Linked DNA regions of Schizosaccharomyces pombe. The protein of the gene in region 1 interacts with the protein of each later gene in a pairwise test. Each region holds a gene or a part of one and is shown in the gene's direction. Other genes may lie near its edges.

What was found. The genes of interacting proteins can lie anywhere in the genome.
Region 2: the proteins of rpl3202 (region 1) and sum3 interact in binary tests that used the Schizosaccharomyces pombe proteins (3 or more experiments, as listed by UniProt).

What each region holds. Positions count from the first base shown.
Region 1 is NC_003424.3:3,414,896-3,417,931, reverse strand, and holds rpl3202 (60S ribosomal protein eL32), read left to right. Parts: upstream 1-1,875; 5' UTR 1,876-1,890; coding exon 1,891-2,274; 3' UTR 2,275-2,524; downstream 2,525-3,036. Other genes in the region: protein hob2, read right to left, coding at 1-1,210.
Region 2 is NC_003421.2:973,480-978,509, reverse strand, and holds sum3 (translation initiation RNA helicase Sum3), read left to right. Parts: upstream 1-1,796; 5' UTR 1,797-1,838; coding exon 1,839-3,749; 3' UTR 3,750-4,511; downstream 4,512-5,030. Other genes in the region: protein SVP26, read right to left, coding at 386-1,069. UniProt on the Schizosaccharomyces pombe protein: ATP-binding RNA helicase involved in translation initiation. Remodels RNA in response to ADP and ATP concentrations by facilitating disruption, but also formation of RNA duplexes. Inactivation of ded1 blocks mitotic cell cycle progression at G1 and G2/M.

The sequences.
Region 1 (3,036 bases):
TTACCAAAGGAATATTAAGGAGCACGTGTGGTGAATGGCCAGGAGTGATACTTTCGACGTTGAAAGACAAAGCAGAGGCTAAAATTTGATGAACACATGCCTCTACGGGGAAAAACATTCTGTGGGAAGGATTCTTTTTGTTCAGTAAAATCAAATTCAGTCCAAAATCACTACCATTTAAGATATAGGTGGCTCCACATCCCGTTACATTTCTCTTCCAAAGCTTCAATGTACCGATCTGGATTTGAGCTTCCTGTAACTTTAATAAGGCCGCTTCAACATTATCCTTCATCACATGAACTTTTCCAGAGGAGGAGGAGGAGGAAGAATGATTTCCTCCGGAAGAATTTGAATTTAACAAATGCTCAAAAAGTGGAGTATCTAGATCTATATATAACACACCCACTTTGATGGAAGAACGAAGACGCAGAATCGTGTCAGGAACGTTTGATTTATCTAAAGAGTAATAGGTTTGTAAGCTTAAGTCCAAATAATCGGTAATCTGTTGACTGCTCTGCCGGCGGTCAATGTAAACCAGGTTTGCCAAGCGAATGCTACAAATTACGCAGGAGGATACAAGTTCGGGATCAGACGGATTTTCATATCCAACGACATTATTGGTTTCAGGACGCATTTCCATCGAAAGACTGCCCAACTCGAATGTTCCTACAGAGGGAAATGTCAATTGAGATTCTTGGATACTAATGTGAAGCCATTTCATCCAAGATTTGTGAAGAAACTGAATCCATTTTTGCTCCACATTGCGAAGTAAGTTAGACATGTAAACGGCATGACAAAATTTCTCCTCCGTTTTTTCTTCCTCACGCTTTGCTTTAAACACCAATCGAGATCTTTGGTTCTCATTCTTACCAGCCGATTGTGCATCATTAGCACTGGAAAGTGATGGAGTATAAATCAAGCCTTTGGTTACAATGCGCAGTAAATAGGGCTTGGAAGTAGAAGGACGATGCAGACGAAGTGCCACATACGAGATGAAAACCGAGTCTCCATTACGGAACGTGTGTCGTAGGCCATACACGGAGAAGAATCCAAAATTTGTAAAGGGCCATCCCAGCACGTATGACAGTACAAAAAGAACCAAATGAAAAAGGAAACCTGTCGCTATCACCACCCAAACGAATGAAGTGTTTTGCGAGGACGACCACATCGTTGATGGATTAAGCAAGGAAAAAGGAAACAACGGGTTCATCAAGTATGTAAACACATAGAGATTACTATAAGTTTGTCGTTTTTCCTTTAATGAAAAGGTAAGGAAATTGCAGAAACGGAGAGGAGGGAGGAGAAAGGAAACTGTGTAAAATAAAGCTGGTGTAACGAAGAAATCCAACTGAGCGGGAAGAGGCGGGAAGGTACACGCTATGTCAGTGATCAGCGAGAGCGGTAGTCGCTTGACTAAACAAGTTTAGGGATTAACGGCCACGTGGATCGGAAATTGAAGTCGCTTGAGGAAACCGTTAAATATTATATCGATATGTAGCGCATACATTTTTAAGTTTATTATCAAAGTAGAGGGATGTGTGCGTTATTTTTCAATTTGTTAAGTATGTTTTGCGTATCTTACAAAAAGCTCGGTATTTAAAGGTAGTGAAACAATTTCGCGTTACGGAGGAAACATTGAAGAAAAGCAATCAGTTTGATATGCAAAGCTAAATACGGGATATTACAGAAATGAAAATGAAGAATGATTAGTTTTATAATGTTATTGATCATTTAAATAGAGATATTATTAACTTCTTTTTCAACATGTCAAATCTGGGAACTATAGCGCAAAAAATGAAAACTCAGCTACCATCCCCATAAAAAGCAGTCACGTTCGTTCCAAAACACACTCACAACACAAGTGCTAACTTTTCCACCCACACAACAGAAATGGCTGCTGTCAATATCATCAAGAAGCGCACCAAGCCCTTCAAGCGCCATCAGTCTGACCGCTTCAAGCGTGTTGGAGAATCATGGAGAAAGCCCAGAGGTATTGATAGTTGTGTTCGTCGTCGTTTCCGTGGCACCATTTCCATGCCCAAGATTGGTTATGGAAATAACAAGAAGACCAGATACTGCATGCCTAATGGATTGAAGGCTTTCCTAGTCCGTAACGTTTCAGATGTTGAGCTCTTGTTGATGCATAACAAGACTTATGCTGCTGAGATTGCTGGTAACGTCTCTGCTCGTAAGCGTGTTGAAATTGTTGAAAAGGCTCGTGCTCTCGGTGTAAAGGTCACCAATGCCGGTGCTAAGGTTCGCTCTCAGGAGTAAATTAGAATCACGACTTAGTACAGTTAATGAAAGTACTTTGGTATTGGAAAAAAACTCTTTGTATAATCGTTGATAACTTTTAGTTTATTAAGCGAAATTTCCCTTTCACAGTTTAATTTAAAAAGTTTCTCACTTTTAAAAAAAATGGTTAAACGTGACGCAGTCGTTTTCATTTAGCTTTTCTGCATTCGATAAGATGAACGAAGAGTTCTGAAACAGATCATTTGGCTCTCAAACCGTTTAAACGTATATCATTAATATTTTATTTAATTGAGAACTATTCTTATATTTCGTTCAAACACATCAAATATGTATTCAAACGCATCTACTCGGGACAAATTTTTTCAGATCTGTTTAAGCTTATCTCTGCAAATGTATATCTAGACTATTCGAACATGAAGCTGTCTACTTTAACTTATAACTTCAAACCTCATCTTGTCCATTTAAACCTTCAACTTCAAACTTTTTTCTTTTCATCCTTGGTTACATTGTATATTTTTTAACGTTGTCTTTGGTTTTGATTTAAAGTACCAAAGATCAATTAGAAAGTGTTTCAGTGGATGACAACATTTCATTTTTCAAAAACTTTACATATTTTAGCGCTGATCTGAGCTGGAGGACGCTGGATTTGCAGGTTTTTTGGATTCCTACATAATTTTTTCGATAAATGTTTTGCCATCGAGCACTCTTATATCCTAATCCATTAAACTGGTTTGTTCTTGCTTGACATAAATTCTCTTTTTTATTACTCAAAACTGCTTT
Region 2 (5,030 bases), on another chromosome or scaffold:
CGTTATGAACAAGACGTAAAAAACTCCGTTTCATATGAATATGAAAAGGCGTCATCTATTTCCTTTAAATGCATTTTCTACACGTCCGAGATGAAATTTAAGTCAAATTGACAATACAATTTCCATGTTGAAAAAAATAACAATAGGCAATCCTAAAGAACAACGACAAAACGTAAAAGAAGGATAATTTTGTTCGCTCAAACTGACCGAGAAAAAGTTAAAGTGTTGATGAAGAAAGTATGAAGAAAACTATATACAAAATAAAAGTCGAAAAAAAAAAGAGATGCAACATGTTGTGAGTAAATGATCACATAAGAAGTACAGACATTACAGTAAAGTTAAACGAATCCTTAATTTAAAAAGACAAGCATCCCTCAAACTCAACTCAGACGTAACGTTCACTTGAACGATCACTCAACCCCAAAGAGGTAAGACTACGTTCGACGAAGATACCTAACTTTTTATAAGCTTGTCGAAGTACATTCGACGTCCGACGAGATGATCCAGAAGAATAAGCATCAGGGGACGAGGAAGACGGGGTTGTAATGGTAGGAAGTGTATTGTCAGCAGCGGTAAAGGAAACAAAAATACCAATAGGAACAGACCATACGCATACCCCCATAAATGAAGCAACTTGTGAAAAGGAAGCACGAGAGGTCAAAAGGCGTTGACCAACAAAATCGTAAGTGAGTCCACGAGGTTTAATAGGGAATTCATGCACCTGGAAAAAGCGGACCCATAAGATATGATTCGCGACAATAAGGAAACATGCTAGCAAAAATCTCATTCTCTTAAATGAGAAGAAAGGAAAGGTATCAAAGTTGATTTTATAAATGTAATGACTGAAAATGGAGAATGCCGAGAGCCAAAAAGGAAAACCATCAAATATAACCAAAAACACCATTACCGCCATAATAAAATAAACCAACCGACATAAAAACGCCTTTGCGAGCCTAGAGTGCTCTTCTACAAACTCTGAAATGTAATACAAAGCTGATGCGATACTCACGGTCATGCCTATGAATCCCAAAACGATACCCAAGTACGACAGAGCATTAAGGACAATCATTTTGAAAAACGCTTTTAATTATGTCGTATCTAATAATCTTAACAAATGTGATTTTCTTTGGACTTCTTCAATATAGATAAATATGTTCGGATTTGTCGAATAAATACGGTTTTAATGCACAGCACCGCTTACAAAGCTTCTGCCTAAAGGTTTTAGCAATTTCTTAAGTTGCAAGGCACAATAAAAATATCAATTTCTATATTTTGTAGTATTGGTTGGTATGGGAAGACAGCAAAACCATGGCTGGTACTCCTGAATATCACTACGACCTTAAACAGAAAGCAAACTGTATGCTAATAATTGTAAATTTGAAAGTTGAATTTTCTTATTCCAATTAAAATGATTAATATGTATACTAAGTCTGCTATTTAGAGACGAGCATAACGGTGGTTTTTAGTTTTGGTGAGTGGCAATCGTGTACCTACATTACGGTGCCTAAATGTTTAGTTATATAGATTATAAATATATTTATATAGTAAAACCTTTCAATTAATTTTTATTCTTTAACGTAGTCAGATGATAGCACGTGTACTGACTTAAGGTTTCAAAAAAACTATTAATACCCATACATATTGGTATCAAAATTAACTAAAAAATAATTTTAAATTGTTTAAATGACTTTTTATCCTTGTTAAAAATTGTTTTCGTTGACATATCTAATTTGCTGAGGGGTTAAAAAGGGCAGTCCCATCGTGTATTTGGTAGCATTTAATGGCCAACTTAACCTAACCTCAACCAAACACTTCAACTCAGAAATACAAAAAATATTATGAGCGACAATGTACAGCAACAAGTAGATTCAGTTGGTTCTGTGACTGAAAAATTGCAAAAAACAAACATCAGCAGACCTAGGAAGTATATTCCTCCTTTTGCTAGGGATAAGCCAAGCGCTGGCGCAGCTCCAGCTGTTGGCGACGATGAGTCTGTCTCATCTCGTGGCTCTTCTAGGTCTCAAACTCCTAGTGAGTTTTCCTCTAACTATGGAGGTCGCCGTGAATACAATCGTGGCGGTCATTATGGTGGTGGCGAGGGCCGCCAAAATAATTACCGTGGCGGTCGTGAAGGTGGTTACAGCAACGGCGGTGGTTATCGTAACAACCGTGGATTTGGCCAATGGAGAGATGGTCAACACGTTATCGGAGCCCGTAACACTCTTTTGGAGCGTCAATTATTTGGTGCCGTTGCTGATGGTACCAAAGTTTCAACTGGTATTAACTTCGAAAAGTATGATGACATCCCTGTTGAAGTTTCCGGTGGAGATATCGAGCCTGTTAATGAGTTCACTTCTCCTCCTTTGAACTCTCATCTTCTTCAAAACATTAAACTCTCTGGCTACACTCAGCCCACCCCAGTTCAAAAGAACTCCATTCCTATTGTCACATCCGGACGTGATTTGATGGCCTGTGCCCAAACCGGTTCCGGTAAGACTGCTGGTTTCTTATTCCCTATTCTTTCTCTTGCTTTCGATAAAGGACCTGCCGCTGTTCCTGTTGATCAGGATGCCGGTATGGGTTATCGTCCTCGCAAAGCCTATCCTACCACCCTTATTTTGGCTCCCACTCGTGAATTAGTTTGTCAAATTCATGAGGAATCTCGTAAATTCTGTTACCGTTCTTGGGTGCGTCCCTGTGCTGTTTACGGTGGTGCCGATATTCGTGCTCAAATCCGCCAAATTGACCAAGGTTGCGACTTGCTTTCTGCTACTCCTGGTCGTTTGGTTGATTTAATCGATCGTGGTCGTATTTCTTTGGCCAACATTAAGTTTTTGGTGTTGGATGAAGCTGATCGTATGCTGGATATGGGTTTCGAGCCTCAAATTCGTCACATTGTGGAAGGTGCTGACATGACAAGCGTTGAAGAACGTCAAACTCTCATGTTTTCTGCCACTTTCCCCCGTGATATCCAACTTTTAGCTCGTGACTTTTTAAAGGATTATGTCTTCTTGAGTGTTGGTCGTGTCGGTTCCACTTCGGAGAATATTACTCAAAAGGTCGTACACGTTGAAGATTCTGAAAAGCGTAGTTACTTGCTTGATATTCTTCACACCTTACCTCCTGAGGGTCTTACCTTGATCTTTGTAGAGACTAAACGCATGGCTGACACACTTACCGACTATTTGTTGAATAGCAACTTCCCCGCAACAAGCATTCACGGTGACCGTACCCAACGTGAGCGTGAGCGCGCTTTGGAATTGTTCCGCTCTGGCCGTACTTCCATTATGGTCGCTACTGCCGTCGCCAGTCGTGGTTTAGATATTCCCAATGTCACGCATGTTATTAACTACGATTTACCTACTGACATTGATGACTATGTGCATAGAATTGGTCGTACCGGTCGTGCTGGTAACACTGGTCAAGCTGTTGCGTTTTTCAACCGTAACAACAAGGGTATCGCTAAGGAATTGATTGAGTTGTTGCAAGAGGCCAATCAAGAGTGCCCCAGCTTTTTGATCGCCATGGCTCGTGAAAGCAGCTTTGGTGGTAATGGACGTGGTGGCCGTTACAGTGGTCGTGGTGGTCGTGGAGGCAATGCTTATGGTGCTCGCGACTTCCGTCGCCCTACTAATAGTAGTAGTGGTTATAGCTCTGGCCCTAGCTACTCTGGATACGGTGGCTTTGAAAGCCGTACTCCTCATCATGGTAACACTTACAACAGTGGTAGTGCTCAATCCTGGTGGTAAATTTCCTAAAAAAATATTTTTATTGGGTTACGTGCATCTGTGTTATGCACAGGCTTCTGATGATTTCCTTTAGTCAGAGGCCGAAGTATTGTGTCCATTGTTTTGCTGACATTTGCAAAGCGCGAGGATGTCAGAAAGGGCGAAATATTTGGCTTTAATTAACTGTGATTGAGTGAGTTGCACGAAACGTCTTTTGTTTAGGTCCGGTTTTTTTCATTTTTAAGCTGGGCTTGGACGGATGCTCATTGGGTGTGCTTTTTAATCGTTGCGGTTGTGGAAGCGTTATGTAAAAACGATCCGGCAAAATTTAGTATGCGGTGTTGTGTTTTATTGCATAATAAGATGAGGCGAAAGTTTCAGAAGTCAATGCGTGCATGATTTATTCACGGGACTTTTTAAATAGAATATGCATATTTGAAACATTTGCATTGACGAAATGGATGTACGAATACGACGGGCATACAAAATGACATATATTATACATATTTTATATATATCTATTGATATGTTGAAAATTTCTACAGGCTTTGAGCTCATGATTTTAAAAATCAATGATGGATCTTTTTTTACGAGTCTGTGTTTCTTTTTTTCGAGAGAACTTGGAAATAGGTTAGTGTCTCTCTTTTGTTGGATTGTGGTTCTTGGGTAATATTTCTTTAGGAAAAGGTTTACGATTCTGCAATTTGTAATAATAGGATGCGCGCTAGAGCAAATTAATAAATTTTATTGCAATAATAAACTATACACATGTTATTAGGCAAATTAGTTATTAGTAAAATTAAGGAATGTAATTAGTGATATGTACAGTCAGAAATACTAGAAATATATACGAAAGATTAAGTAACGCAGCTACAATGATCACTGATACAGAAAGTATTTAAGGGTCTAGTTGGACTAGACAATTGTTTATTTATTGTGTCGCAGTAGTCACAATCAAAAGAAATAATTAAATAAAAAATTAGAAATAAATGGTGAACCACTTGGACCTATATGCTTTGACGACATACATATTAATAAGTGAGGACAATGTCAAGGGTAACTTAAGTAAATGTTGAAGAAAAATGCTTGATGATTATGTTTTTACGTTCTCAATTAAATAAGTAACTTTTCAATTAATTGAAAAACGAATATTAATGAGTAACCATGACTAGGATTAAAAGAATAAACAACCATACTTAAACTTAGTATTCAATAGATTGTTGAGATTAAAGAGAACAAAAATTAAGGAAACAGATCACAGCACAATTTCATCAAAAAATTGCAATTTTTCTTCGTTTTTCT